Anolis sagrei: one gene and its partners. The protein of the gene in region 1 purifies or fractionates together with the protein of each later gene. This does not show direct contact. Links are inferred from orthologs where the notes say so. Each region holds a gene or a part of one and is shown on either strand. Other genes may lie near its edges. The genes, in order: PDS5A, SMC3, CDCA5 and WAPL.

What was found.
Region 2: the proteins of PDS5A (region 1) and SMC3 purify together in Homo sapiens (affinity purification with western blotting; 8 studies listed by BioGRID and IntAct, with this or other methods). This does not show direct contact. The link is inferred for Anolis sagrei from reciprocal best matches to the Homo sapiens genes PDS5A and SMC3.
Region 3: the proteins of PDS5A (region 1) and CDCA5 purify together in Homo sapiens (affinity purification with mass spectrometry; 4 studies listed by BioGRID and IntAct, with this or other methods). This does not show direct contact. The link is inferred for Anolis sagrei from reciprocal best matches to the Homo sapiens genes PDS5A and CDCA5.
Region 4: the proteins of PDS5A (region 1) and WAPL purify together in Homo sapiens (affinity purification with mass spectrometry; 6 studies listed by BioGRID and IntAct, with this or other methods). This does not show direct contact. The link is inferred for Anolis sagrei from reciprocal best matches to the Homo sapiens genes PDS5A and WAPL.

Annotation. Positions count from the first base shown.
Region 1 is NC_090025.1:80,315,037-80,322,191, forward strand, and holds the start of PDS5A (sister chromatid cohesion protein PDS5 homolog A), read left to right. Parts: upstream 1-4,084; 5' UTR 4,085-4,253; coding exon 4,254-4,280; intron 4,281-4,963; coding exon 4,964-5,134; intron 5,135-7,155. UniProt on the Homo sapiens protein: Probable regulator of sister chromatid cohesion in mitosis which may stabilize cohesin complex association with chromatin. May couple sister chromatid cohesion during mitosis to DNA replication.
Region 2 is NC_090023.1:209,665,991-209,673,579, reverse strand, and holds the start of SMC3 (structural maintenance of chromosomes protein 3), read left to right. Parts: upstream 1-4,380; 5' UTR 4,381-4,470; coding exon 4,471-4,485; intron 4,486-6,864; coding exon 6,865-6,940; intron 6,941-7,589. UniProt on the Homo sapiens protein: Central component of cohesin, a complex required for chromosome cohesion during the cell cycle. The cohesin complex may form a large proteinaceous ring within which sister chromatids can be trapped.
Region 3 is NC_090032.1:22,246,095-22,253,246, forward strand, and holds the start of CDCA5 (sororin), read right to left. Parts: upstream 3,140-7,152; 5' UTR 3,090-3,139; coding exon 3,029-3,089; intron 2,193-3,028; coding exon 2,074-2,192; intron 735-2,073; coding exon 663-734; intron 500-662; coding exon 461-499; intron 1-460. Other genes in the region: ZFPL1 (zinc finger protein-like 1), read left to right, coding at 4,667-4,768, 5,806-5,917. UniProt on the Homo sapiens protein: Regulator of sister chromatid cohesion in mitosis stabilizing cohesin complex association with chromatin. May antagonize the action of WAPL which stimulates cohesin dissociation from chromatin.
Region 4 is NC_090023.1:160,376,721-160,384,107, forward strand, and holds the start of WAPL (wings apart-like protein homolog), read left to right. Parts: upstream 1-4,345; 5' UTR 4,346-4,823; intron 4,824-7,387. UniProt on the Homo sapiens protein: Regulator of sister chromatid cohesion in mitosis which negatively regulates cohesin association with chromatin. Involved in both sister chromatid cohesion during interphase and sister-chromatid resolution during early stages of mitosis.

The DNA of each region.
Region 1 (7,155 bases):
GCAACAAGACCCAAGGCACGAAACCAACACTTTGCCTACAGCAAAGTTCTATCACTCCAGTGCCTTCATTTATCTTACAACTCATCATCCAATGATGAGCTGCCCTCAACCCCATCCTCATCACTATCAGCTGGCTTAGCCTCTACAGCTGAACGCCAATGCCCATCCCTCCAACTCTTCCACCTTTTGTCAAGACTTAGGTCTCCCCACGATTCCATGGTACCACCAGATTGCCAGTCCCTGCCACCAGAAAATCCCTCAAAAATGTCACTGGATGTTGGTTGAGTACATACATTCTGAATCTCCTGAACCTTGATCCAATCCAGTGGTTCCTCTTCATCCCCACTACCTCCAGACCCATCATTCCCAGAAAAGCCCATGAAATCCTCTTCCTCAGTCCCGGATCTTCTTTCTCTGACGCTCCTTGCTCTCGAGTAATCCTTTTAATGCCTCTATTCCCATCTGCATCTCCTTCCTCCTCCTCACTCATTTCACTCTCAGAGAAACCTTCAAATGATTCTTCATCCGTGGGCGACATAAGTATCGCTGCTCCTGGGCACCTCGTTTCCGTCCTCTACCACTGGATAGCCCATGAGGTCTCTTCCAACTCTTTGAATCTATGATTCTAATTATTATTATTATTACTATTATTATTATTTACACTTGCCTCAAACAGACAAGAGTCCTTTCTCCCACCCTGGACACTCCACAGATATATAAAACTTCACTTACCTAGTTTCCAACAAACCTCACAGCCTCTGAGGATGCCTGCCATAGATTGGGTTTATTTATTTATCGTGTCATCAGCAACGATACCATTGTATTACAGTTCTAACAGAGCAAAACAAACACACAGATTAAAAAGAAAAAAACAAAACACAAATTTTGCAAATTTGGTAGTTGGTTAAATGTCCTTTGACCAGTATCTGACCACTTAGAGTGCCTCTGGTGTTGCCACAAGAAGGTCCTCCATTGTGCATGTGGCAGGGCTCGGTGCATTGCAGCAGGTGGTCAGTGGTTTGTTCTTCTCCGCACTCGCATGCCATGGATTCCACCCTGTAGCCCCATTTCTTAAGATTGGCTCTGCATCTCGTGGTGCCAGAGCGCAGTCTGTTCAGCGCCTTCCAAGTCGCCCAGTCTTCTGTGTGCCCAGGGGGGAGTCTCTCATCTGGTATCACCCATGGATTGAGGTGCTGGGTTTGGGCCTGCCACTTTTGGACTCTTGCTTGCTGGGGTGTTCCAGTGAGTGTCTCTGTAGATCTAAGAAAACTATGTCTTGATTTAAGTCGTTGATGTGCTGGCTGATACCCAAGCAGGGGATTAGCTGGAAATGTCTCTGCCTTGGTCCTTTCACTACTGGCTGCTACTTCCCGGCGGATGTCAGGTGGTGCAATTCTGGCTAAGCAGTGTAATTTCTCCAGTGGTGTAGGGCGCAGACACCCTGTGATAATGCGGCATGTCTCATTAAGAGCCACATCTACTGTTCCACACTGGGCATACATACTCAGCAGCAGAGTAGCATAGCGCAAGGGCAGCTGTCTTCACTGTGTCTGGTTGTGATCCCCAGGTTGTGCCAGTCAGCTTTCGTATGATGTTGTTTCTAGCTCCCACTTTTTGCTTGATGTTCAGGCAGTGCTTCTTGTAGGTAAGAGAACGGTCCAGAGTGACTCCCAGGTACTTGGGTGCACTGCAATGCTCCAGTGGGATTCCTTCCCAGGTGATTTTCAGAGCTCGGGATGCTTCTCTGTTCTTGAGATGAAAGGCACATGTCTGTGTTTTAGATGGGTTAGGGATCGGCTGGTTTTCCCTGTAATAGGCAGTGAGAACACCTAGAGCTTCGGAGAGCTTCTGTTCTACCATCTCAAAGCTCCCTGCTTGAGAGGTAATGGCATGATCATCAGCATAGATGAAACTCTCTGTCCCTTCTGGCAGTGGCTGGTCATTTGTGTAGATGTTGAACATGGATGGAGCAAACACGCTCCCCTGAGGCAGGTCGTTCTTCTGTTTCCGCCATCTGCTTCTCTGGCCCTGGAATTCAACAAAAAAGCTCCTGTTTTGTAGCAGGTTTCCTACGAGGCAGGTGAGGTGGTAGTCCTTTGTGATACTATACATTTTTCTCAGGAGGACGCGGTGGTTCACAGTATCATAGGCTGCCGACAGGTCTATGAAGACACCTCCTGTGATCTGCTGCCTTTCAAAACTATCTTCTATGTGCTCAGTCAGGTTCAACACTTGCGATGTGCAGCTTTTGCCTTTTCTGAAGCCAGCTTGCTGTGGGATCAGACAAGGGTCTATTTTTTCTGTAATTCTATGCAAAATAAGTCTCTCCAGAACTTTGTAGAGGTGGCACAGCAGGGAGATTGGTCTGTAGCTTTTGGGGTCATTACGGTCTTTGCCTGGCTTCACGATGGCGATGACTCTTGATTTCCTCCAGATTTTGGGGATCTGACAGGATGCAGTGCAGTTGTTCATCAGCTCCAGCAGCCAGGGCCTTGCTTTTGGACCAAAGTTCTTGATTTGTTCCATCCGTAGATCATCCAGGCCACCTGCTTTGCCATTCTTACATTTGTTGAGAGCCATGTCGAATTCAGTAGATGTAAAAGGTTCATGGAGGTTGTTGTTCTCAATCTCTGGTTGTCTGGCTATTGTTTTCTTTCCTACTTTGGTGGCAAAGTTGGGTTTCCCATTCTTCAGGAGTTGGTGTGCTATCTGATCTGCCTTTATGTTGGCATGGGTATTAGTTTGTGAGGGGTTGTTGCTCAGCCGTCTCAGCAGCCTCCACGCCTTCTGGCTGCTCCTGCCCATGTCGACCTCTGTGACCAGCTTGATCCACTGTTCTTTCTTGGCTTCAGAGATGGAGGAAACAATGCTCTGCGCTGCCTGAAGAGTCTGCTCACTAAATGGGGGGGGGGGGGGGACATGAGAGAAGCCTCCTCGCAGGATTGCAAGACATCCAGGCGTCCCCTGGGCAACGTCTTCGTAGACGGCCGATTCTCTCGATCCAGAAGCAACCAGAGATCCGCCTAGTCAAAGCCATGGTATTCCCTGTAGTCACCTACGGATGTGAGAGCTGAACCTTAGGGAAGGCTGAGCGAAGGAAAATAGATGCTTTTGAGCTGTGGTGTTGGAGGAAAGTTCTGAGAGTGCCTTGGACTGCGAGAAGATCCAACCAGTCCATCCTCCAGGAAATAAAGCCTGACTGCTCATTGGAGGGAAGGATACTAGAGACAAAGTTGAAGTACTTTGGCCACATCATGAGGAGACAGGAAAGCTTAGAGAAGACAATTATGCTGGGGAAAGTGGAAGGCAAAAGGAAGAGGGGCCGACCAAGGACAAGATGGATGGATGGCATCCTTGAAGTGAGTGGACTGACCTTGAAGGAGCTGGGGATGGTGACGACCGACAGGGAGCTCTGGCATGGACTGGTCCATGAAGTCACAAAGAGTTGGAAACGACTGAACGAATGAACAACAACAAAAATAAAGACTGGCCACTGTCTATGAATTCAGAATATATGGAGAAGACAATGATGCTGGGGAAAGTGGAAGGCAAAAGGAAGAGGGGCCGACCAAGGGCAAGATGGATAGATGGCATCCTTGAAGTGACTGGACTGACCTTGAAGGAGCTGGGGGTGGTGACGGCCGACAGGGAGCTCTGGCGTGGGCTGGTCCATGAGGTCACGAAGAGTCGGAGACGACTGAACGAATGAACAACAACAACCCCTCGTAAAACCTCACTTACCTAGTTTCCAACAAGCCTCACAACCTCTGAGGATGCCTGCCATAGATTGGGTGAAACGTCAGGAGAGAATGCTACTGGGACAGAGCCATGAAGCCCGGAAAACTCACAGAAAACCCAAAGATTTGTTTGTTACTGTGGCTTCCCTCCATCTTGGCGCCAAATGAGGAGTGCCCAACCGGCAGCAGCAGCATCCTCAAAGAGGAGCTCAGCCAGCCCGCCTGGGCCTTTAAAAGCCTCCGTTCCCAGAATGCTCCGGGGCGGGCCTTTTTAAAAAGGGCGGAGGCGGCTCCCGGAAGACTCCCCTTTTGCTGAGGTTCCCCGGCCGGCCGAGAGGTGGCGCTGTTTCCCCGCCGAGAGGCGCACACGAGCAGCCGAGGGTGGGAGGGAGGCAGCCAGCCACGGGGGAAGAAGGAAGGGAGGACTCGCCAGGGTGCAAGGGAGCCCTCGCCACCCCCGCCGCCACCGCCGCCGCCGCCGCGTCCTTCTTGAGAGGCGCCACCGCAGGCCGCTCAATGCTGCACCTTCCGGAGCTGCAGGAGGTGGGCAGGCAGGGGGGTAGAAGGGGGAGGGGGGTCGGAAGTGGTCCCTATTTCCCCCTCCCCCCTTCCTTCGCCATCGTGGCGGATTTTGTGAGGGAAACAGAAATATTTCCCCCTCAAGAATCAACTTGAGGGGGAAAAGGAGGAGGAAGGGTCCTGAGGTGGAAGTTGAGGGAAAGCCCCGCCAAGTGGAGGGAGGGCCTTCCCAGCCTCCCTCAGAATCCCCTTCGTTTGCCCCTTCCTCCTCCTCCTCCTCCTCCTGAGGGTTTCTGGGACTGCTCATAGTTTTGAGGCCTAGCAGTTTAGGCCTCGCCGCCCGCTCCAGGCAATCAAGCAATCCAGCAAGCAAACGCCTGCCTCAGAGTGGCTGGGCTTCCCCGCCTCTCCTTTCCGCATCTTTCCTGAGAGGAAGCAAGAAGGCCCCCCTCTCTTATTTTCTAATTTTCGGGGGAGGGGATTCATTGTGATTGATTGGACTGCCAAACTCATGGCCTCGACGTGTGGGCCTAGCCGAGGCGGGAGGGAGGGAAGGAAGGGAGGGAGGCCTCGGGTCTCGCCGCTGGGCCTCCCTGCTTCTTTCTTTTCTTTTTTTCCCAATCGTGGGTTGGAAATCTGGGGGGGAAGGGTGGCAAGGTTTGGAAAGTCGCTCCTCTCCTGCTGAACTTTTGTTTTCTGACCGATAGAGGCCGGTAGAGGACTGTGGCGAGGAGAACTTCCTCACCGGCAGCGCCAGGATGGAGTTCCCACCCGCCCAACCAAAGCCTCCTGCCGATGGCAAGATCATCTTCTATCCTCCGGGAGTCAAAGAGATCACGGACAAAATTACCAACGATGAAGTGGTCAAGCGACTCAAGGTAAGTCCTGGTTTTCATATGACTTTAGTTGTTGTTGATATCTGCCTTCAAGTCTTTTCAGTTCATGGTGACCCCTTAGGTCAGTGGTTCTCAACCAGATGTTTGGGCCTTCAACTCTCAGAAATCCTAACAGCTGGTAAACTGGCTGGGATTTCTGGGAGCTGTAAACTAAAACACCTGGGGACACACAGGTCGAGAAGGAGCCCCCCCCCCCCCCCGTGGCGCAGTGGCAGCAGGACTGAAGACCGACAGGTCACAGGTTCGAAGGCGCGCTTGGTGGGGACGTGGGACAGGGCCTTCTCCGTAGTGGCCCCCCAACTCTGGAACACCCTCCCCAAAGACCTTAGACAGGCCCCTTCATTGGCTATTTTCAGAAAGAACTTAAAAACCTGGCTTCCTCCACTACCGAGTCCCACAAGCACTTTACCAGAACCAATGATTGTTGCACATCGCACGTGCCCTGGAAGCCCTATATACACCTCCTGTCAAATCAGCACTTTTAATCCTTGTACCCACCTTTTGGCCCGGCCCAGATTTATTGTGTTTTAATGTACTGTGCTTGTTGTTTATTTTGCTTTAATTTGTTTTAATTGTTTGATTTGCTTGATTGTATTGCTATGTTGTATTGTTGTGGCCTCGGCCTGTTGTAAGCCGCATCGAATCCTCTGGGAGATGCTAGCGGGGTACAAATAAAGTTTAATAATAATAATAATAATAATCCAGGGAGAGGCGGATGAGCTCCCTCTATCAGCTCCAGCTCCTCATGCGGGGACATGAGAGAAGCCTCCCACTAGGATGATAAAACATCAAATCATCCGGGCGTCCCCTGGGCAACGTCCTTGCAGATGGCCAATTCTCTCACACCAGAAGCGACTTGCAGTTTCTCAGGTTGCTCCTGACACAACAACAACAAAAAAAACACCCTTAGGTTTCAGATTTAAGAATCATTGATCTGAACCAATGAAGATTGGTTCCAATGAGCTTGTTGGCTTCATAGTGTGATACCTTGAAAATTGGCATAAGCATCTAGGCTATGATGTAAAAATGGTACAAAAAAACCCCACCCTTAGGTCAGTGGTTCTCAACCCGTGGGTCTCCAGATGTTTTGGCCTTAATAATAATAATAATAATAATAATAATAATAAAACTTTATTTATACCCCGCCACCATCTCCCCAAGGGGACTCGGAACGGCTTATATGAGGCCAAGCCCGACAACACATCAATAGAACAAAAAACAGTAAGCAAAAACAATACAATTAATATAACTCCCAGAAATCCTAACAGCTGGTAAACTGGCTGGGATTTCTGGGAGCTGTAGGCTAAAACACCTGGGGACGCACAGGTCGAGAACCACTGCCTTAGAATCAGGTCAGTGGTTCTCAACCTGTAGGTCCCCAAGTGTTTTGGCCTACAACTCCCAGAAATCCCAGCCTGTTTACCAACTGTTAGGATTTCTGGGAGTGGAAGGCCAAAAAATCTGGGGACCCACAGGTTGAGAACCACTGCCTTAGGTGAACCTTTCTCAGGTTGTGTTGTCAAAGGCTTTCATGGCCAGAATCACTGGGTTGCTATGAGTTTTCTGGGCTGTATGGCCTCGAAGGCTTAGCCCCATGTAAATTGGCCCAAGTCCCTTCGGGGAGATGGAGGTGGGGTACAAAAATAAAGTAGTTGTTATTATGTGAAACACAACAAGATGAGTCCACGGCAGACACTCTGCTGACTGTTGTATTGGATCACATGTCAGACACTTCCCTAGTGTCTAGGACTGTGTGATGTATCGGCGAATAATGCGTGCAGATCCCAGTAAGGTGGCCTTCTGCAGCTGGTAATTTTGTCAGTGCTGATTGTGTTTAAGTGCAGGCCAAGGTCTTTAGGCACTGCACCCAGTGTGCCGAACACCACTGGGACCACCTTTACTGGTTTGTGCCAGAGTCTTTGCAGTTCGATTTTTAAATCCTCATATCGAGTCAGCTTTTCTAGTTGTTTCTCTTTAATCCTGCTGTCACCTGGGATTGCAAC
Region 2 (7,589 bases), on another chromosome or scaffold:
GTAATCATGCAGAGTCATACAAACCCTTGCAAACAGACTCCTTTATAATCAATTCATTTTTTTTCTCCTGATAGTGCAGTCATGCTGAGTGGTTTGCAGTTCCCTGGATTTTTTTCAACCTCTTTTGAAGAGAGGCACAATGTTTGCTCTTCTCCAGTCCTCTGGCACCTCTGTTCTTCAACATTTCTCAATCTTTCAAAATAAATTATACGAGGAACCTGTATTTTTTCCAAAATACAGTGTTCCCTCAGTACTCTGCAGTTTGCTTCCTGTGGACTCACTGTTTCACGGTTTTTCCAAAAAAAAATTAATTTAAAATACAAGTCCTGAGGGAACACTATATACACAGATCTATAAACCCCACTTGCCGAAGTAGCGCTGGTGAGAGGTACGGAGAGGGACGCCAAGGCAGCTTCCACCGGGGCTTCTTCTTCTTTCTTCTGAGGTGGAGAAGGCCACCGCCAAGGCAGCTTCCATCACGGCTTCTTCCTGGTCGCTCTTCCTCGGGTGACCAGGTGAGAGCCCCATGCCAGTGGGGAAGCGGGGGGGGGGGGGAAGAAGGGTGGCTCCAGCAAAGGGATGGGCAGGGAAGGAGGAAGAGAGGGGGAAAGAGGAGAGGAAGAGAAAGAGAGAGGAGGGGGGGGGAGAGTAAGTGGAGCGATACTGTACATATACAGTATAGCATCCCTACATCGTGGTTTTTGGACATATTCTTTGCTGACCACATTTTTCACATGTCCGTGTTTGATATTGTTTGGCTGTAGTGTGCCCAGATATTTATAGGCTTCAGGCTGATTGCACTTTATGGTTTGTCTATTTAGCATCTCTATGCCTGTGATATCGAGCTCTTTTGGGAGGGACTTCCCAGCGGGGAAGATCCCTGGAGATCGCAAAAGGGATCTTTGACCTTGGTGAGCTGCCAGCAAAAGCCAATCCAAAGCGCAAAATATTAAGAATTAATCCCACCAGAGGCTGAAGAGGTATCCAGTGACCGAAGCGTTTATTTAGCGATTCAGCTGAAAAGGATGCATTACAGGGATATTTCCTCTATAAGCATGCAGTACAGTGAATTTCAGGTATATTTATACAGGCAAAACAAAGAAATCCTGGTTTGAATCTCCCGCCCGCCTCCTGTCAGTTCCCTCTGTCCTGATTGGCCGGCTCCAGAACAGCTGGGAGGAGGCTTGGCCGCTGGTCCCGCCTTCCCTCCAATCGCCGGCCGCTGTCGCTTCCAGGGGGCCAATCAGAGCCCTTGGAGCGCCTCCGGAGACTGTCCAATCAGCGGCCAGGAGGCGGGACGTATCTTGACAGCGCAGAGGGGCGGATTTGCCTGGAGGCGTCCGCCAGCTGATTGAACACCTTTTGTTCTTCGCACGGCAGGGAGGCGGAAGGGGAGACAAGGGATTTCCTGGGTTCCGATAAAGGATGTGTATAGGAAAAAAAAGGGTGGCTATGGGTGGTGTCTGGATCTCAACCCTGTGGCGAAGGGAGTCCTTTGTCACAGGGGAGCGTACACAAAACACCATGATTGATTTAATCAGTCTGTTTTTCCGGGCCTTTTGGCTGACAGATTTCTGGCTTTTGTTCGTCTGACTCTGAAAACAAAGCCATAGATCTGCCAGTCTTTGTCCATGCAATGTAAATATGAATGGAGTTTCTTCCAAGGAAATTGGATTTCCTTAACTGTAATCCCAGGTCACATACTTTAGTAGGGTAAAGTTCAGAGGGAGAAAAGGTGGGGGAGAGGGTCAGGGTACATTTCATAGATTTCATATTTTTCCATATCATATACATTCTTCATAAACTTTCATAAGCTCATAGATTTCATAAAGGGGGGTCCCCATCCCATCCCCATCCCCATCCCAGCAAAGTTTATTAGAAGCAACAACAATTGGCAAAAGCAATTCATCAGAGTTCCTGAGGTATGATCTGCTTGGCAAGGACACACACACACAGGCGGGGGCCATTCTCCCCAAGCGGCTTGGCCTTGAGTTCGTAGAGGAAGTTCGTGATAATAGGACATCAAGTCAATCAGTGAGGGCAGAAAGGTCCGCAAAGAGTCTAAAATGGTGGAGAGTGGGGCAATGTCCTTTGGGGAACTGCATTTCCCTGATCAGGGGCCAGGGTCCAGTGCACAAGCCAGAGAATTCACAGAGAGGAAACAGGAACCCAGTTATGTGTGCTGGGTCAGGAAGCAGCAGAATCCATTTTCCGGCCCTTGGTGAACTACAAATACTTGGGGGGGAAGATGCTCTGCATCACCTGCACTGTTAGGTGATATTAGGCTTTAATTCGATATTAGGTTTTAATGTATTTTCATATATGTTGGAATTCAAACTGAGTCCCATCAGGAAGATAGACGAAATACAAAAAAAGTTTATTGTTATTGTTATTATTATTATTATTAAGGTAAAGGTTTCCCCTGAAATTAAGTCTAATCGTGTCCGACTTCGGGGGGTTGGTGCTCATCTCCATTTCTAAGGCAAAGCCAGTGTTGTCCGTAGACACCTTCAAGGTCATGTAGCCGGCATAACTGCATGGAGTACCTTACCTATCTACCTACTAGACTGGAATAAGCTGGGCCTAACAGTAGAGCTCACACCGCTCCTCGGATTCGAACCGCCAACCTTTCAGTCAGCAAGTTCAGCAGCTCAACGGTTTAATGTGCTGTGCCACCAGGGGGCCCTATTATTATTTTTATTATTATTATTATTATTATTATAACATAATAGTACACAGCAAACAAGATCACTACGCTGACTTTTGTTTTTGTTCACACTTCGGACACTTCCCAAGTGTCTAGGACTGTGTGATGCATTGTCGCATAATGCATGCAGATCTGAATTGGGTGGCCTTTTGCAGCTGACAGATCGTAATTTTGTCAGTGCCAATTGTTTTTAAGTGCAGGTCAAGGTCTTTAGGCACTGCGCCCAGTGAGCTGATCACCAATGGGACCACCTTTACTGGTTTGTGCCAGAGTCTTTGCAGTTCGATCTTTAAATCCTTACATTGTGTCACTTTTTCTAGTTGCTACTTGTCAATCCTGCTGTCACCTGGTACTGCAACATCAATGATTCATACTTGTTTTTTTCCCACGATCGTAAGGTCAGGAGAATTGTGCTCCAAAACTCTGTCAGACTGAATTCGGAAGTCCCAGAGTAATTTGACGTGTTCATTTTCCGTAATTTTTTCAGGCTTGTGATCCCACCAGTTCTTTGTTGCAGGCAGATGGTATTTGTGGCACAAGTTTCCTATGGACCATCTGAGTAATGCCTCTGCTTGTAGTCCGTCTGCACAATCTTCTTGCGGCAGCTGAGGATGTGATCCATTGTTTCGTCTGCTTCCTTGCAGAATCTACACTTGGAATCAGTGGTAGACTTTTCAATTCTGTCTTTGATGGCACTGGTTCTAATGGCTTGTTCTTGGGCTGCAATAATAATAATAATAATAATAATAATAAAGCCATTCTGGCTCTTTTGGAACTTATGGAAGGAACTCCATACTGATGTCAGTGCTGAAGATTCTGACCATGTTGGTCAGTGACTGGATTTTCAGTAACTGCCTTACTGTTGTTGTTTTTTTGTATCCGAAACTGCAAGTCGCTTCTGGTCTGAGATGATTGGCCGTCTGCAAGGACGTTGCCCAGGGGACGCGCTGATGTTTTTGATGTTTTACTGTCCTTATGGGAGGCTTCTCTCATATCCCCACATGGGGAGCTGGAGCTGACAGAGGGCGCACATCCATGCATTATTGTTGTTGTTGTTGTTGTTATTGTTGTTGTTGTATGGAGCCCCCGGTGGTTAAACCCCTGTGCTGGCAGGACTGAAGACCGACAGGTCGCGGGTTCGAATCCGGAGGAGGCGGATGAGTTTCCTCTATCAGCTCCAGCTCCTCATGCGGGAACATGAGAGAAGCCTCCCACAAGGATGATAAAAACATCAGTTCATCTGGGCGTCCCCTGGGGAACGTCCTTGCAGACGGCCAATTCTCTGACACCAGAAGCGACTTGCAGTTTCTCAAGTCGCTCCTGACACGACAAAAAAAATGTTGTTATTCTGCGAGTCGCAAAACAGCGCCCTCTGGCGGCAGCTGCGCTCCCTGCAATCGCGCCGCCTATTCCTCCCTGAGGCTCCCCCTCCTATTGGCCGCACTGGCTTTGGCGCCCTATTTCGCTCATGCCGGGCCGAACCAAAATCCTACCGAACGGGGAGGCAGAGATGGTGCTTTATTAGCTTCGATTTTAAATAAAGGGCAGTCACCACAAGTACAGCAACCACTTCGTCTTTTGGGAAGGTCTGACCCGTTTCCTCTGCCTCTTTCCGAGGCTTTTGCTGCGTTTTCGCCAACGATCCTCCCCTCTTTTCCTTTGCAGAGTGGTACGTTCCACAGCGAACGGGAGGGGGAGGCTTTGCCGCCATTTTGTTCTCGGTGGGCGCAGTGACGGGGAGGAGGGAGCTTTTCGCCGCCGCCATGTATATCAAGCAGGTAGGAGGCCCTCAGGTTGTGAGGGGGAGGCTTTTTTTTTCTTTGGAAACAATAAAGGACGGTTGGGAAGAATTCATGGCTGCAAAGCGAGGGACTGGTGGGGTAAAAAAAAAAGGGGGGCTGGGGGTGTTGAGGCGACGAAAGCCAGGCCCTGAGACTCAGTTGAGGCCCTCGTTCTCTGTAGAATGACAGCATCAGCAGGGGATTCAGCCTCACCGGCGGGCCTTGTTTACTTTCTGTGGTAAAATGAAGTGGTAAACAAGAAAAGTTGAGGCCTCGGCTGGTTGATCTTTTATTTTATCTCCCACAATAACCTAAAGTTTCCAAAATGTAATGAACATTGGGAGGGGAGTGGGACGACGACGGCGACACGCAGGCCTCATCTACACTACCATGCGATGCAGTTCGGTGTAGTTAAACGATTATATGAGTCTGCACTGACCATATAACGTAGTTTCATACTGCATTATATGGCATTGCAGATTAGGCTTCATCTGATGCTTGTTGGTGCTGGCTGAGGGCCCTTCCACACAGCCCTATATCTCAGAATATCAAGGCAGGAACTCCCACATTATCTGAGTGTGGGCTCAGATAACCCAATTCAAAGCGGATATTGTAGGATTTTCTGCCTTGATGTTCTGGGATATAGGACTGTGGAAGGGCCCTGAGTGTGGACTTAGATAACCCCCAGGATCCTTCCACACAGCCCTATATCCCAGAATATCAAGGCAGAAAATCCCACATTATCTGGGGCCCTTCCACACAGCCCTATATCTCAGAATATCAAGGCAAAAAATCTCAGTTATCTGGGGGGCCTTCCACACAGCCCTATATCCTAGAATATCAAGGCAGAAAATCCCACATTATCTGAGTGTAGACCCAGATAACCCAGTTCAAAGCAAATAATTGCAGGATTTTCTGCCTTGGTATTCTGGGATATAGGACTGTGGAAGGGCCCCGAGTGTGGACTCAGATAACCCAGGGTCCTTCCACACAGCCCTATATCCCAGAATATCAAGGCAGAAAATCCCACATTATCTGAGTGTGGACTCAGATAACCCAGTTCAAAGCAGATAATGTGGGATTTTCTGCCTTGATATTCTGGGACAGGGGTCCTCAAACTAAGGCCCAGGGGCCGGATATGACCCTCCAAGGTCATTTACCCGGCCCTCGCTCAGGGTCAACCTAAGTCTGAAACAACTTGAAAGCACACAATAACAACAATCGTATCTCATCAGCCAAAAGCAGGCCCACACTTCCCATTGAAACACTCATAAGTTTATATTTGTTAACATTGGTCTTCAAAGGAGTGGATTATAATAAAAAATGAATTCCTATGCACACTGCACATATCTTATTTGTAGTGCAAAAAACATTTAAAAACAATATAATATAACCAGAAATTAAATAATAACATAACCTGTCAATTAATTTACATCTAACGTAAAAAATAAATATAAATGTATATAAAACCTCAAGTTAACATTCATTTAAATTAGTTATTAAAATCATTATGCGACCAATAAAATCAACAGAGCCAACAGAACCAATATCTGCTTTAAACTGGATTATCAGAGTCCACACTGCCATATAATCCAGTTCAATGTGGATTTTATACAGATGTGTGGAAGGGGCCTGAGTCTCCACTGCCAGATAATCTGGGATAAGAGGATAATCTGTGATCAGATTCTGGAGTATAGGGGCATTGTGAAAGGCACCAGAGGCCAGAGTATTTCTTGTCCAGAATGCTTAGGATCCAGAGTTAATATACCACTATATAACCCATGCATTTCGACACCACTTTAACAGCTGTGGCACAGTGCTATGCAATCATTGGAGTTTCAGTGTTATAAGGTCTTTGTAAGTCTTCTCATCAAACTATGAATCCTAGAATACTGGAGCATTGATCCATGCGAGTTAAATGGGTGTCAAATTGCAGTAATTCTGCAGTATAGATGCTTTTGTACCATGCTTTCCCCTTCTAGAAGATTAAAATAACTCTGAAGCTTTAGTTAAAAATCATGAGTTTTAATCTAAAAACACTGATATATCAAGACTTTCTGTCTCAACTACAGCTGAAATCTCATTCTGAAGATTTTGTTAAAAACCGAATTTAACATTTAATCTTAACGAGATTGCACACTCATAGTTTTGCTTCACCTGTTCTTGAAGGCTGCATAATGAAAGTGCAGGAAGCAGGCTACCATCACAACGTGGTACCTGGTAATTGTATTGTTTTTGTACGTACTGTGGAAATGATAGAAATGAATATAGCAAATTTACTTCTTATCCTTTTTGAGACATTGTACTTTTGAAAGCTGTAGTTGATAATAAATTGTATTTATGAAAGTTTATTTAACATAAATGTGTTTATTTCAGGTGATCATCCAAGGATTTCGCAGCTACAGAGATCAGACTATAGTAGATCCTTTCAGTTCAAAGCATAATGTCATTGGTAAGTTCCTGTAATACAAAGGCTTATGCAGCATTTAAGTATAACTTTTAGAGATGAAATTGACATTTGATATATTTCTTCCTATTCAGAATGAAACTGATTGCTTTTTCTTATCTGATTGCTTTTTCTTATCTGGCACATTTGTTGTTATTTTTAATGTTACATAATTTCATGGGTTAGTGCCCCTAGATCAGGGGTCCACAAACTTTTTAAACAGAGGGCCAGGTCACAGTCCCTCAAACTGTATATTTGAAAAAAAATGAATAAATTCTTATGCACACTGCACATATCTTATTTGTAGTGCAAAATCACTTAAAAACAATACAATAATTAAAATGAAGAACAATCTTAACAAATATAAACTTGTTAGCATTTCAATGGGAAATGTGGGTCTGCTTTTGGCTGATGAGATAGGATTGTTGTTGTTATGTGCTTTCAAGTCATTTCAGACTTAGGTTGACCCTGAGCGAGGGCCAGGTAAATGACCTTGGAGGGCCGTATCCGGCACCCAGGCCTTAGTTTGATGACCCCTGCCCTAGATTTTCATACAGTGACTAACTAATGTCTCCTCAATATGCTTGTAGATCAAATCCTTCCACACCATAGCTGGGAGATACTGAAAATTATTTCCGGATTCTTTTGTCTGTCA
Region 3 (7,152 bases), on another chromosome or scaffold:
TTTCCAACAGACCTCACAAACTCTGAGGATACCTGCCATAGATGTGGGTGAAACGTCAGGAGAGAATGCTTCTGGAACATGGCCAGACAGCCCAGAAAACCCACAACAACCCTATTATTATTATTACTACTATTACTATTATTATTATTATTATTATTATTATTATTGGTATATAGTGTACATAGTGGGTTTGACTATAAATAAACATAATATTTATTATACCAATAGTAATATAATAATAATAATAATAATACATTGTAATGCTGATAATAGATGCATAGCTGCTTTGAGTCTCATTTGTGGAGAGAAAAAGCAGGGGATAAATAAATAAATATCATAATAATATCTAATACTAAAAATAACACATGGTTGCTTTGAGTCTCTTACGTGGAGAGAAAAAGCAAGGTAGAAATAAACATTAATAGCAATAATAATACTAATTCTGATAATAATGACTGACCCTTGGGCTCCGTCGGGGCGTGATGGCCGTCTCTTTGACCTGGAGCAAAAAAAGAAAGGCCAAAATGAGACAGACAGATAGAGCGATAGATAGATATAGATAATTGACAGGTGGAGATGATAGATAGGACAGATTGACAGGTAGAGATAATAGATAAAGATGATAGGAATTGATAAAGCCAAATTGATAAAGCCTGACTGACCTGCCGGTTCGATCGCGGCACAATCTTCCTCAGAGTGATGATGGGCTTCTTCGCCTGGAGCGGTGCAGGCGGCTGCCGGGAAATTGCAAAAACTCCAAAGTGAGCTGCTATGTATTCTGGATAATGAAACAATATCTCTATCTATCTATCTATCTATGTCCTAGAGGGTTGGACTGGATGGCCTTTGGGGGTCCCTTCCAACTAGGATTTTATCTATCTACCTTTCAGTTTCTCCACCTATCAATCCATGTCTTGCACATGCGGTCCGCTCATTGTTATTTTATTTTATTGTGTATTATTTTGCTTTATTGCTTTTTTTTAAACTCATACGTTGTATATATTTTATTGTGTTTTGGTTTTATTTTATTGTAATATGCTGTTGGGCTTGGCCTCATGTAAGCCGCCCCGAGTCCCCATTGGGGAGATGGTGGTGGGGTATTAAATAAAGATTATTATTATGTCTATCTATCTAATCTATATTATCTCTATCCATTTATTATTATTATTATTATTATTATTATGTCTATCTAATCTATACCATATCTATCCATCCAATGAATCTCTATCTATATTATTATTATTATGTCTATCTATCTAATCTATATCTTATCTATCCATCCAATGAATCTCTATCTTATTATTATTATATTATTATTATTATTTCTGTCTATCTATCTCATCTATATTATATTTATCCATCCAATGAATCTCTACCTACCTTATTATTATTATTATGTCTGTCTATATAATCTATATCTTATCTATCCATCCAATGAATCTCTATTATTATTATTATTATTATTATTATTATTATTATTATTATTATTATGTCTATCTAATCTATACCATATCTATCCATCCAATGAATCTCTACCATTATTATTATTATGTCTATCTATCTAATCTATATCATATCTATCCATCCAATGAATCTCTAGCTTATTATTATTATTATTATTATTATGTCTATCTAATCTATACCATATCTATCCATCCAATGTATCTCTATCTTATTATTATTATTATATTATTATTATTATTATTATGTCTGTCCATCTATCTAATCTATATCATATTCATCCATCCAATGAATCTCTATCTATCTATCTATCTATCTATCTATCTATGTATCTATTTATCTATTTCTTAGATAGCCTTTGGGGTCCCTTCCCACACTAGGAATCAATCAATCAATCCATGTATGTATGTATGTATGTATGTATCTACCTATTTCTTAGAGGGTTGGACTGGATGGCCCTTGGGTGCCCCTTCCAACTTTAGAATCCTATATCTATCTATGTATATCTCTCTTAGAAGCCTCCCCAAAACTCTAGGATGTCTATCTTAGATGGTTGGACTGGATGGGGGTCCCTTCCAGCTTGAAGATTCCACAGGTATTTACATTACGCACCGAACCGACGTCTGCCCCGCCGGGCCGCAAACATGCCTTCCTTTCGGATAAAGACAGAGCCGCCGTGGAAGCCGCTGCCGTGCGTTCGGACCTTCGCCTTGGAGGAGAGGAAACGACGCCTGAAACAAAAAGGAAGAGGGTTAAGACTAGACAGCAGGGGAACTCCAGGCTGGAAAATGGGACCCCCCCCTCCACCCTCCAAGGCAGGAAGCAGCCAGGCTTTGAAGCTGCAAGGCCATTTAGTGCTAATCAAGCTGGCCAACGACAACATTCACACTTGCCTCCAGCACACAAGAGTTCTTTCTCCCACCCTGGGTATCATTCCACAGGTATAAATATATCTAGGATTCCCTCAGGCAGGAAGCAGCCAGGCTTTGAAGCTGCAAGTCCATTCGATGTTAATCAAGCTGGCCAATGACAATATTCAGACTTGCCTCCAGCAGCCAAGAGTTCTTTCTCCCACCATGGACATCATTCCACAGGTATAAACCTATCTATGATTCCCTCATGGCAGGAAGCAGCCAGGCTTTGAAGCTGCAAGGCCATTCAGTGCTCATCAAGCTGGCCAACGACAACATTCAGACTTGCCTCCAGCAGACAAGAGTTCTTTCTCCTACCCTGGACATCATTCCACAGGTATAAATATATCTAGGATGTCCCTCAGGCAGGAAGCAGCCAGGCTTTGAAGCTGCAAGGCCATTTGGTGCTCATCAGGGTGGCCAACAACCACAACCTTCTGAGATGTGGGAGAAATGTCAGGACGGAGTGCTGCTGGAGTAGCCATGGATCAACTTGGGCCTTGTCTCCAGGTGTTTTGGACTACAAATCTCACAATTCCTCACAGCCTCAGGCCCTTTCAGGGCCTGAGACTGTGAGGAATTGTGGGATTTGTAGTCCAAAACACCTGGAGACAAGGCCCAAGTGGATAATACTGTTTCCCAGGCTTGCGGCCTACCTGCCCGGGCCTCTCCTGCGGAGCGAGCCCGCCTTGGCAGGCCGCGGCCTCCTCCCGCCATCGCCTCCTGCTTTCCTTCCTTCCTTCCTTCTCTCTTCCGGCTTTGAAATCGCCCGCCACCTCCACGCAGGAAGTGACGTCACCACAGTGGAAGAGAAGGAAAACAATAGTCAGAGCCGGCGCCATTTTAGGAGAGGCAAACCAAATCCCGCGAGAAATCTCAGCATCCCGCGAGAGTTGGCCGTCGCTTCCCTTTTAATACAAAAAACACCCGACGCCATTTTAGGAGAGGCAAACCAAATCCCGCGAGAAGTCTCCACATCCCGCGAGAGTTGGTCGTCGCTTCTCTTTTAATACAAAAAAAACACCCGGCGCCATTTTTGGAGAGGCAAACCAAATCCCGCGAGAAGTCTCCACATCCCGCGAGAGTTGGATGTCGCTTCTCTTTTAATACAAAAAACACCCGGCGCCATTTTAGGAGAGGCAAACCAAATCCCGTGAGAAGTCTAACCATCCCGCGAGAGTTGGATGTCGCTTCTCTTTTCCCATTTAAGCTACTAATACACAAACTACCCGGCGCCATTTTAGGAGAGGCAAACCAAATCCCGCGAGAAGTCCCCACATCCCGCGAGAGTTGGGTTGGTTGTCGCTTCTTTTTTCCCATTCAGCTACTAATGCACAAACCACCCGACGCCATTTTAAGAGAGGCAAACCAAATCCCGCGAGAAGTCTCAACATCCCGCGAGAGTTGGTTGTCGCTTCTCTTTTCCCATTCAGCTACTAATACACAAACCACCCGGCGCCATTTTAGGAGAGGCAGACTGAATCCCGCGGGAGGTCTCGACATCTCGCGAGACTAGACCTCCTTAGTTTCCTTTTTTCCTGAAGCGACGGCTGGGTTGTGACGCCATCGGCGCGCGACTTTCCCGGAAGAGACGTGGCAGAAGGCGGAAGGAGGCTGAAGAGGAAGGTGAGGAGGGGGAGGCCTGGGAAAATAAGACACACCGGGGAGTTAATGCGGGTTGATACCGCTTTAAATGCCAATAGTCCCTTGATGTGGAATCATGGCAGTGGCTCATCAGAGAGTATTAGTATATTATTGTTGTTAATATGTATATATAATATATAATATATATTAATGTATATATTATTGATGTTACTCCTATATAGATCTGCTGAACTTGCTGACCAAAAGGTCAGTGGTTCAAATCCGGGTAGTGTGGTGAGCTCCTGCTGTTAGCCCCAGCTTCTGCCAACCTAGCAGTTTGAAAACATGCAAATGCGAGTAGAACAGTAGGTTCCGCTCCGGCAGGAAGGTAACAGCAGTCCATACAGTCATGCCAGTGGCCACATGACTTTGATAGTATGTACGGACAACACCGGCTCTTTGGCTTAAATTCACACGTGCATATTATTATTATTATATGAATAATTATAGCTATTACCCCTTATGGCTCAATAGCTAAAAATATTATTATATTAAAATGCAAATATTAAAATGTATTCCTACAAAATGCACATATCAAAATACACAGAACACTGACGGATGTGTGTGTGTATGTATATATATGTATGTATGTATATATATATATAGATATAATTGATTCCTTTTTTCTTTCTCCTGCTGCAGGCTCTGCCATGGGGCTGTGCAAATGCCCCAAGCGGAAGGTGACCAACCTCTTCTGCTTCGAGCACCGCGTCAACGTCTGCGAGCACTGCATTGTCGCCAATCACAACAAGGTAAAGTTGCTGTTGTTGCTGCTGCTGAGTGCACCAAGGGGAATGCCTCTAATAACACTGTTCTACAAATTTTCAGTTTTTCTTAGTTAAGGAAACGAAATGTGCCGTTTCTTAATTAATTTAACATGCTGAATTCAAATATAATAATTAAATGTGTTCATTGGCTCTGGTTTTTATGCAACAGCTATTTCAATTTTCTCCTCAATAGGTAATTCGTTAATATTATGATACTGCGCCTAACCTTACTGCATGTATATAAAACGTGAATGTTTACTAAATTTTAGTCCAATTATATTGCCAATAGTTTATACATGAGAAATATTTATTTAATTAGTCTATTGTTTATGTTTGTGCAGCAAGGAACTCTATTAGTAGGCCTAATGCAGTTGAAAAGTCTGAAAGTTGAAATGTCGCTTTAATCGTGACTTTAGTTTCTATCCTGTTTGCTTCTCTTGACTTTTCTTTTGTAGTCAAGGAGAGGATTCCCTCTTGCAATGCTCCAGCAGGAGTCTGACAGCATTGACGGAGTCCATTGGCCTTGATGTCTTTTTTCCATAGGGCTTTATTTACACACATGCGAGGCATAACGACAGTGAAAAGAACAATGGAAAACGATGTTTAACAATACTGTCTCAGTCTTCAACTGACTGACCCTCACTGTTCAAAAGTCTGGCCTTATAGAGGGCTTTCTGGCTTTTGCACACGGCACTCATACTGTGTCATCAAACTTTCTAGAGTATTCTAGAATCTTCCATAGTGTAAGTCGCAACATGCATTTTTTCAACCATACGTGGTCACGTGATTGCTTATTTCATAAAAACTAGAGCCAATATACATTTTTAAATGTCATTTTTGTTTTCAGCACCCCAAAATCATATAAGAACAACTATTTTCAGGCCCAAAACTTTTTCTCTGTTGAACAGTGTAATAGAGGCTTATGATTATATGATGATGATGATGATGATGATGATGATAATTATAATTATTATTATTATTATAATGGTGCTTTTCTTTTTCCTCCCTCCCTTGCGTTGCAGTGCATTGTCCAGTCTTACTTGCAGTGGCTCCAGGATAGCGACTACAACCCCAACTGTCGGCTCTGCAACACCCTTCTCTCCACCAAAGAGACCGTCCGCCTCGTCTGCTATGGTCAGCTCTTGCGTTTCGTGCCACTGTGCTTGAGCTAGGTCCGGTCCGGGGGGGGGGGGGTCACCCCAAAGGTCCGGGTGTCATCAGTTGGGAGCCTCCCCCCTCCAGAACCAAAGAGAGGGGCCATCTTGACTCCTGCACTGTGCTTATAATATAATATAATGTTGATAATATTATAATGCAATACAATATAGTACTACTACTAATAATATATTATAATTATATATTTTATATTAAATGGAATATTCTTAATAATATTACACTATATTGTTATAGTATTCTATCTATATAAATAAAAATGCAATGTTTGTTTGTGGGAAAATAATATATTGTTTATACTTATAATATTGATAATATTATAATGTAATACAATATAGTACTACTACTACTAATAATATGATATTATGATTATATATTTTATATTGAATGTAATATTACTAATAATATTACAGTATATTGTTATAGTACAATCTATATAAATAAAAATGCAGTGTTCGTTTGTGGGATTGACATAACTCAAAAACCACTGGATGAATGGACACAAAATTTGGACACTATATCCCTAAGAGACCAACGAGTGACCATCAGTCAGTGGAAAAGGACTTTAAAACCCCAAAAAACTAAATGACAGTACAGAAAAAAGGGAAGAGGGAGGGAAGGAAGGAGAGAAAGAAAGAAGAGAAAGAGGGAGGGAAAGAAAGAAGGAAAGAGAGAAGGAAAGAAGGAAAGATGTAGAGAAGGAAGGAGGGAAAGAAAGAAAAAAAGGAAGGAAAGAGAGAGAGCGAAGGAAGGAGGGAAAGAAGAGAAAGCGGGAGAGAAGGAAAGAAAGAGAGAAGGAAGGATGAAAGCAAAGAGCGAAGGAGGGAAGGAAAGAGACAGAAGGAAGAAAGGAGAGAAAGGGGAAGGAAAGAAAGCTAGAAAAGGAAGGAAAGAAAAAAAGAAGAGAAAGAGGGAGGGAAAGAAAGGAAAGAGAGAAGGAAAGCAGGAAAGAGGTAGAGAAGGAAGGAGGGAAAGAAAAAAAAGGAAGGAAAGAGGGAGTGAAGGAAGGAGAAAAAGAAAGGGAAAAAAAGGAAGGAAAGAGGGAGCCAAGGAAGGAGGGAAAAAAGAAGAGAAAGCAGGAGAGAAGGAAAGAAAGAGAAGGAAGGATGAAAGCAAAGAGCGAAGGAAGGAAGGAAAGAGGGAACGAAGGAAGAAAGGAGAGAAAGGGGAAGGATAAGAAAAGGGGGAAGGAAAGA
Region 4 (7,387 bases), on another chromosome or scaffold:
TTTTCACCTTTCATATCTTACCTGTCACTGTTTATGAAGCTTGAAGAATTCTAGCATTAAAACTTCAGGCCGGTTATGTGTCACTGCTTGCAATAAGAGGTAAATGTATTGTCGAAGGCTTTCATGGCCGGAATCACTGGGTTGTTGTAGGTTTTTCCGGGCTATATGGCCATGTTCTAGAGGCATTTTCTCCTGACGTTTCGCCTGCATCTATGGCAAGCATCCTCAGAGGTAGTAAGACCTTATTACCTCGGAGGATGCTTGCCATAGATGCAAGCAAAACGTTAGGAGAAAATGCCTCTAGAACATGGCCATATAGCCCGGAAAAACCTACAACAATGCAATAAGAGGTAAAGCCACAAGTGAGAAGATGATGGTTATCCAGATTTTACTACATGAAAAGAGTTCTGGCCCTGGTTCAGCAGTGAATGCAGAAAGTATGATTCAAGGTACAGGGTTAGTCAAAATGAATAGGCCAATTCGGCTACAATTAATTTTCTTATTGGCCTATTCATTTTGACTAACCCTGTACTTCTCAAGAAAAGGACTTTGATCAGGCAAAATAAATTGTTAAAATGCAAGGACATTAACTAACGTTGTTCACCTGTCTGTCTGTCTGTCTGTCTATGTATATAATAAAAGTGAACTTATGTATGTATGTGGGTGGCGGTGTTTGTATGTTTGCGGCGGATTTCCTATCGGCTCCTACTTCCAGAGACCAGTGTGACCCCCCATCAATGATGGATCTGGACCAAACATGGCACACAGAACCCCCAGGACAAACAGAATATACGGGAGGAGTTTTGGGGGAGTCTGACCACAATGGGTGGGAATTGTAGTTCATCCTACATCCAGAAAGCACTCTGAAGCCCACCAAATTTGACTTGATCGAAGTCAAATTTGGCACACAGGAACTACAGAACATACTCATTATGCACAGCGCATTTTTATATATATAGACTTTGGTTTAAGCAAGAATCAACAGGAACAAAAAAAGGAAGAACCGAAAAAACACCAAGCCTTAAGTGCAAGTAACAAAGGTAGGTGACTATTTTAAAAATGCAAAGGTAGAAATGCTATTCTAAGCACATTTTACTCTGGAAAACAAGCCACACCAATCTCAGTGAGACTTACTTTCAAGCATATGTGCATATGCTTATGATCCCGTTTAAGAGGCCTTTGAGTTTTTAAACTTTTGGGACAAAGAAAAGACGGATTTGACGAAAAGGTCAGGAATGGAAGCCCAGAAATTGGAGTCATTGATATGGTGATTAAAACAATAAACATGAAAGGCAGTACCACAGGTCATGTGAAGGACAACACAACAGTATTCCACACATCCAATCCCCTGGTAATATAGACTGAAGCCACTTCTATTTAAATGTAAATATTTGGTTAATTTGAAGATGTTTCTAACACCACTTCCATTCAAGCCTGCATTTCTCCCTATACATTTCAAGTTACAGGGTAACTTGTAACTGGACAAGGGAAGAGTCGCCATGAACTCATAATTCTCCATACATTTTCCAGAGATAAATTTCTTTCAAGATTCAGTTGGAGAAAGGCACTTATCTGTTTTTTCTTAGGTTGTGGTAAATATTTGCACTACATATGTGACCTTTTCAGGTAAAACATCTATAAGAATATGATAATTATCTGTTTGCATGAATGAATACTAAATATGTTGTCGAAGGCTTTCATGGTCGGAATCACTGGGTTGCTGAGTTTTCCAGGGTGTATGGCCATGTTTCAGAATAATTCTCTCCTGACATTTCACCCACATCTATGGCAGGCATCCTCAGAGGTTGTGAGGTCTGCTGGAAACTAGGCAAACAGAGTTTATATATCTCTGGAATGTCCAGGATGAGACTTGTCTGCTTGAGGCAGGTGTGAATGTTGCAATTGTCCACCTTGTTCAGCATTTAATGGCCTTGCAGCTTCAAAGCCTGGCTGGTTGCTGCCTGGGGGATCCTTTGTTGGAAGGTTTGCTGGCCTTGATTGATTCTTGTCTGGAATTCTCCTGATTTTTGAGTGCTGCTCTTTATTTACTGTCCTGATTTTAGAGGGTTTTTTTCATACTGGTAGCCAGATTTTGTTCATGGTTTCTTCTTTCAGATAAAGAAAATCCCACATTTTTTGCTTTGAACAGGAGTATATGCAGAGGCGGCCCTAGGTAATTTTCAACGGTAAGCAAACATTATTTTGGGTTCCCCCCAACCAATCATTGATATATATTTTCTGTTCGCCGTGAGAGTTCTTTGTGCCATATTTGGTTCAATCCCATCATTGGTGGAGATCAGAATGCTCTTTGATTGTAGGTGAACTATACATCCCAGTAACTACAACTTGCATATGTCAAGGTCTATTTTCCCCCCAAGAACGCCTCAAGAGTGCCCCTGGGCAAAATCAACTATACTGCGAATGCTTACTTTGCGTAAGGGGTTGAGCTGCCCCTGAATATATGGCAATGTGGACTCAGATAATGAGTTCAAAGCAGATATTGTGGGTTATTCTGTCTTGATATTCTGAATTATATGGCTATGTGGAAGGGCCCAGAGATGGAGGAGGCTGCAAAGGCCATCATTCTAGTCCAACCGTCTTCTGCTAAGCACAAATACACACTTAAAGCACTCCTGAAAGATGCCTTTGTTTAAAGACCTCCTGCTTTCCGCTGTGAAACTGTTCTTACAATAAAGATGTTTCTCTTAAGGTTTAGGTGCAACGTATGTCCTTGTAATGGAATCCTTGTTTCAACAGTAGAGATAGGTTGGCAAAGGTTGATTTCCAAATGTTCAGAGTCTTGCTTCTTTATTAATCAATTAATTATTATCCAGCCTTTCTTGCAGGACAGGACCAAACCTGGCATAGGTAAAGATAAAGGTTTCCTCTCAACATTAAGTCTACTCTGGAGGTAATCAATGCTAATCAAGGTGGTCAGTTGAAACATTCACATCTAGCTCCAGCAGACAAGAGTCCTTTGTCTCACCCTGGTCATTCCACAGATATATAAACCCTTTTTCCTGGTTCCAACAGACCTCACTACCTCTGAGGATGCTTGCCATAGATGCAGGCGAAACATCAGGAGAAAATGCCACTAGACCATGGCCATATAGCCCAAAAAAACCCTACAACAGCCCAAGGCTTTGAATGTTGCTTCCTTGCTTATTCAAGAAGGAATTTCATAGAGTTTGGTTGTATTATCTGCCATACTGAAATGCTGTATGTACTCTTTGACTCTTAAAGAAGATATATGGGATTTCATGAAAGAGACACACATGTACTCTGTTTACTATGATGCAGCCATGAAGCCCCCAAAGAGCTACTGCTGCCACCAATATTTTTAGCATTACAAAGGGCTAGAAGTGGCACCAGAGAAGCCAGAGGTACGAAATTAATCCACGAATAAACCCATACGAGCACAATTCAAAGTGCTGGTTTTGACCTACAAAACCCTATATGGTTCCGGCCCGGTGTATCTGTCCGAACGGATCTCCCTCTATGTCCCGCCTCGGAGTTTAAGATCTTCTGGGGAGGCCCTGCTCTCGACCCCCCCCCCCCCCCTATCACAAGTGAGGCTGGCGGGGACGAGGAGCAGGGCCTCCCCAGAAGATCTTAAACTCCGAGGCGGGACATAGAGGGAGATCCGTTCGGACAGCATATTATTTGAGAACACAGAAATGCTGGACCACTCTCACAACCACCATGCCAGACTACACAGAGAAGCCATTGAAAACCACAAGCATGTGGACAATTTCAACAGAAAGGAGGAAACCATGAAAATGAACAAAATCTGGCTACTAGTATCAAAAAACTCTAAAATTACAACAGCACAACAACAGAGAGGAAACAAACAAGAACATCTAATCACCTCTCAACCAAAGTTTGCTCTAGGCACAGTCAGGCCATTATATGCTTATCAAGGTGGTCAGTTGAAACATTCACACCTAGCTCCAGCAGACAAGAGTCCTTTGTCTCATTCCACAGATATATAAACCCTTTTTCCTAGTTCCAACAGACCTCACTACCTGTGAGGATGCTTGCCATAGATGCAGGCGAAACGTCAGGAGAAAATGCCACATGGCCATATAGCCCGAAAAAACCTACAACAACCCAGTGATTCCGGCCATGAAAACCTTCGACAATAAATCAAAGCTATACGTCCCACATGGAAGAATACAAAGGCAGGGAAGCTGCCAAGGCGGCGACTAGGGCCATAAAGCAGAAGAGACTCCGAAAGGGAAGAAGAAACCAAATCCGATCAACTTTTTTCTGTGCCGCGCGTTCTGCGCATGCGCGCCCAACGGCCGGCGGCGCATGCGCGCTGCGGCCCGGCTCGTCGGTTGAGTAAGGCGGGCTGCGATTGGCCGCGGCGGCGACGGCGAGCGAGGCCGAGTGTGTGAGGCGCAGTGACGGAAGGAAGGCAGGCAGGAAAGCAGGCAGGCAGGCGAAAGCGGGGGGCCAATGGCGGAGAGATGGTCCAGGGCCCTGTTGCAGGAGTAGTCGACACCGTCCCGGCGGCTCCCAGGAAGCGGCGGCGAAGGAGGCGGCGAAGGAGGAGGCCGCAGACTCTGCCGGGAGGCCTCGACGCCGGCGCCTTCACGCGGAGAAGGAGCAGCCCAGGCCCGGGGGCGTCGCCCGAAGACGGCGAGCGAGCAAGGAAGGGGGAAGGCGGCGGAGGCGCCCCGAGAGTGACGTGCGCGCCAGGCCGGGCCCTCTCCTCCTCCTCCTCTTCCTCCTCAAGGCGGCCTTCCTTGCTCACTTCTTCCCTTTTTTGAAAAACAAACCTCATAATTTCCTCCTTCGCGTCACTGGGCCTTGCTGAGGTAAGTCCTGTGAGGCAGAGGAGCGGGGAGAGGCCCAGCCAACTTCCTCAGGCCTTGCCTTGCTTTGGGAGGCAAGAGACGACTGTCTTTCACGCTCTTACGCAAACGACACTCTCTCGGCCTCAGAGGGAGGCCCAGACTCCCCCCCCCCCCAACAAATACTGTCTTATGAAAGGCTCGGGCCTAGGACGCCTCTCCGGCCTCTTCTACACTGCCATACAATATCCAGATTGTCTGCCTTGAACTACCAGTGTAGACTCATATAATCCACTTTATCTGATTTGATAATCTAGATCAGGGGTCCTCAAACTTTTTAAACAGAGGGCCAGGCCACAATCCCTCAAACTGTTAGAAGGCCGGATTATAATTTGAAAAACAAAACATGAATGAATTCCTATGCCCACTGCACATATTTGTAATGCAAAAACCACTTAAAACAATACAATAATTAAAATGAAGAACAATTTTAACAAATATAAATTGATTAGTATTCTAATGGGATGTGTGGGCCTGCTTTTGGCTGATGAGATAGGATTGTTGTTGTTGTGTGCTTTCAAGTCATTTCAGACTTTGTTTGACCCTAAGCGAGGGCCAGGTAAATGACCTTGGAGGGCCGCATTCGACCCCCGGGCCTTAGTTTGGGGACCCCTGATCTAGATTATAGGAAACCTCTCCGGACTCATCTACACTGCTATACAATATCCAGATTGTCTGCTTTGAACTACCTATTATATGCCAGTGTAGACTCATATAATCCACTTTATCTGATTTGATAATCTAGATCAGGGGTCCTCAAACTTTTTAAACAGAGGGCCAGGTCACAGTCCCTCAAACTGTTGGAGGGCCGGATTATAATTTGAAAGAAAAAAAATGAATGAATTCCTATGCCCACTGCACATATTTGTAATGCAAAAACCACTTAAAAACAATACAATAATTAAAATGAAGAACAATTCACCCTGATCTAGATTATAGGAAACCTCTCCGGAGTCATCTACACTGCTATACAATATCCAGATTGTCTGCTTTGAACTACCTATTATATGCCAGTGTAGACTCATATAATCCACTATTTGATTTGATAATCTAGATCAGGGGTCCACAAACTTTTTAAACAGAGGGCCAGGTTGCATGGATGTGTGGGCCTGCTTTTGGCTGATGAGATAGGATTGTTGTTGTGTGCTTTCAAGTCATTTCAGACTTAGATTGACCCTAAGCAAGGGCCAGGTAAATGACCTTTCCCGGGCCTTAGTTTGGGGACCCCTGACCTAGATTATAGGAAACCTCTCCGGCCTCTTCTACACTGCCGTACAATATCCAGATTGTCTTCTTTGGACTGCCTATTGTATGCCAGTGTAGACTCATATAATCCACTTTATCTGATTTGATAATCTAGATCAGGGGTCCTCAAACTTTTTAAACAGAGGGCCAGGTCACAGTCCCTCAAATTGTTGGAAGGCCGGATTATAATTTGAAAAAAACAAAACATGAATGAATTCCTGTGCCCACTGCACATATTTGTAATGCAAAAACCACTTAAAAATAATACAATAATTAAAATGAATAATTTAAACAAATATAAATTGATTAGTATTTCAATGGGAAGTGTGGGCCTGCTTTTGGCTGATGAGATAGGGTTGTTGTTGTTGTTGTGTGCTTTCAAGTCATTTCAGACTTCATTTGACCCTAAGCAAGGGCCAGGTAAATGACCTTGGAGGGCCGCATTCGGCCCCCGGGCCTTAGTTTGGGGACCCCTGATCTAGATTATAGGAAGCCTCTCCGGCCTCTTCTACTTCCATACAATATCCAGATGTATGGATGCTTTGAACTACCAGTGTAGACTCATATAATCCACTTTATCTGATTTGATAATCTAGATCAGGGGTCCGCAAACTTTTTAAACAGAGGGCCAGGTCACAGTCCCTCAAACTGTTGGAGGGCCAGATTATAATTTGAAAAAAACAAAACATGAATGAATTCCTATGCACACTGCACATTATTATTATTATTAACTTTATTTGTACCCCAAGGACTACTTTGTTGACTGTAGGATTTATATATTTTAGTTTGGAAAATAATATTGCATAGTAATTATTAATATACGTAATTCCTCGAGTTTACATATTGACAGGCACTGTAGTGAGTATTGCATGAAGGAAAATTATATGTTACAGCAGTGTTTCTCAACCTGGGGGTCGGGACCCCCCTGGGGGTCACGAGGGAGTATCAGAGTGGTTGCCAAAGACCATCAGAAAACATAGTATTTTCTGTTGGTCATGGGGGTTCTGTGTGGGAAGTTTGGCCCAATTCTATTCTTGGTGGAGAACATAATACTCTGATTGGAGGTAAACTATAAATCCCAACAACTACAACTCCCAAATGTCAAGGTCTATATTCCCCAAACTCCACCAGTGTTCACATTTGGACATATTGAGTATTTGTGCCAAGTTTGGTCCAGATCCATCATTGTTTGAGTCCACAGTGCTTTCTGTATGTAGGTAAACTACAACTCCAAAACTCAAGGTTAATGCCCAGCAAACCCTTCCCATATTTTCTGTTGGTCA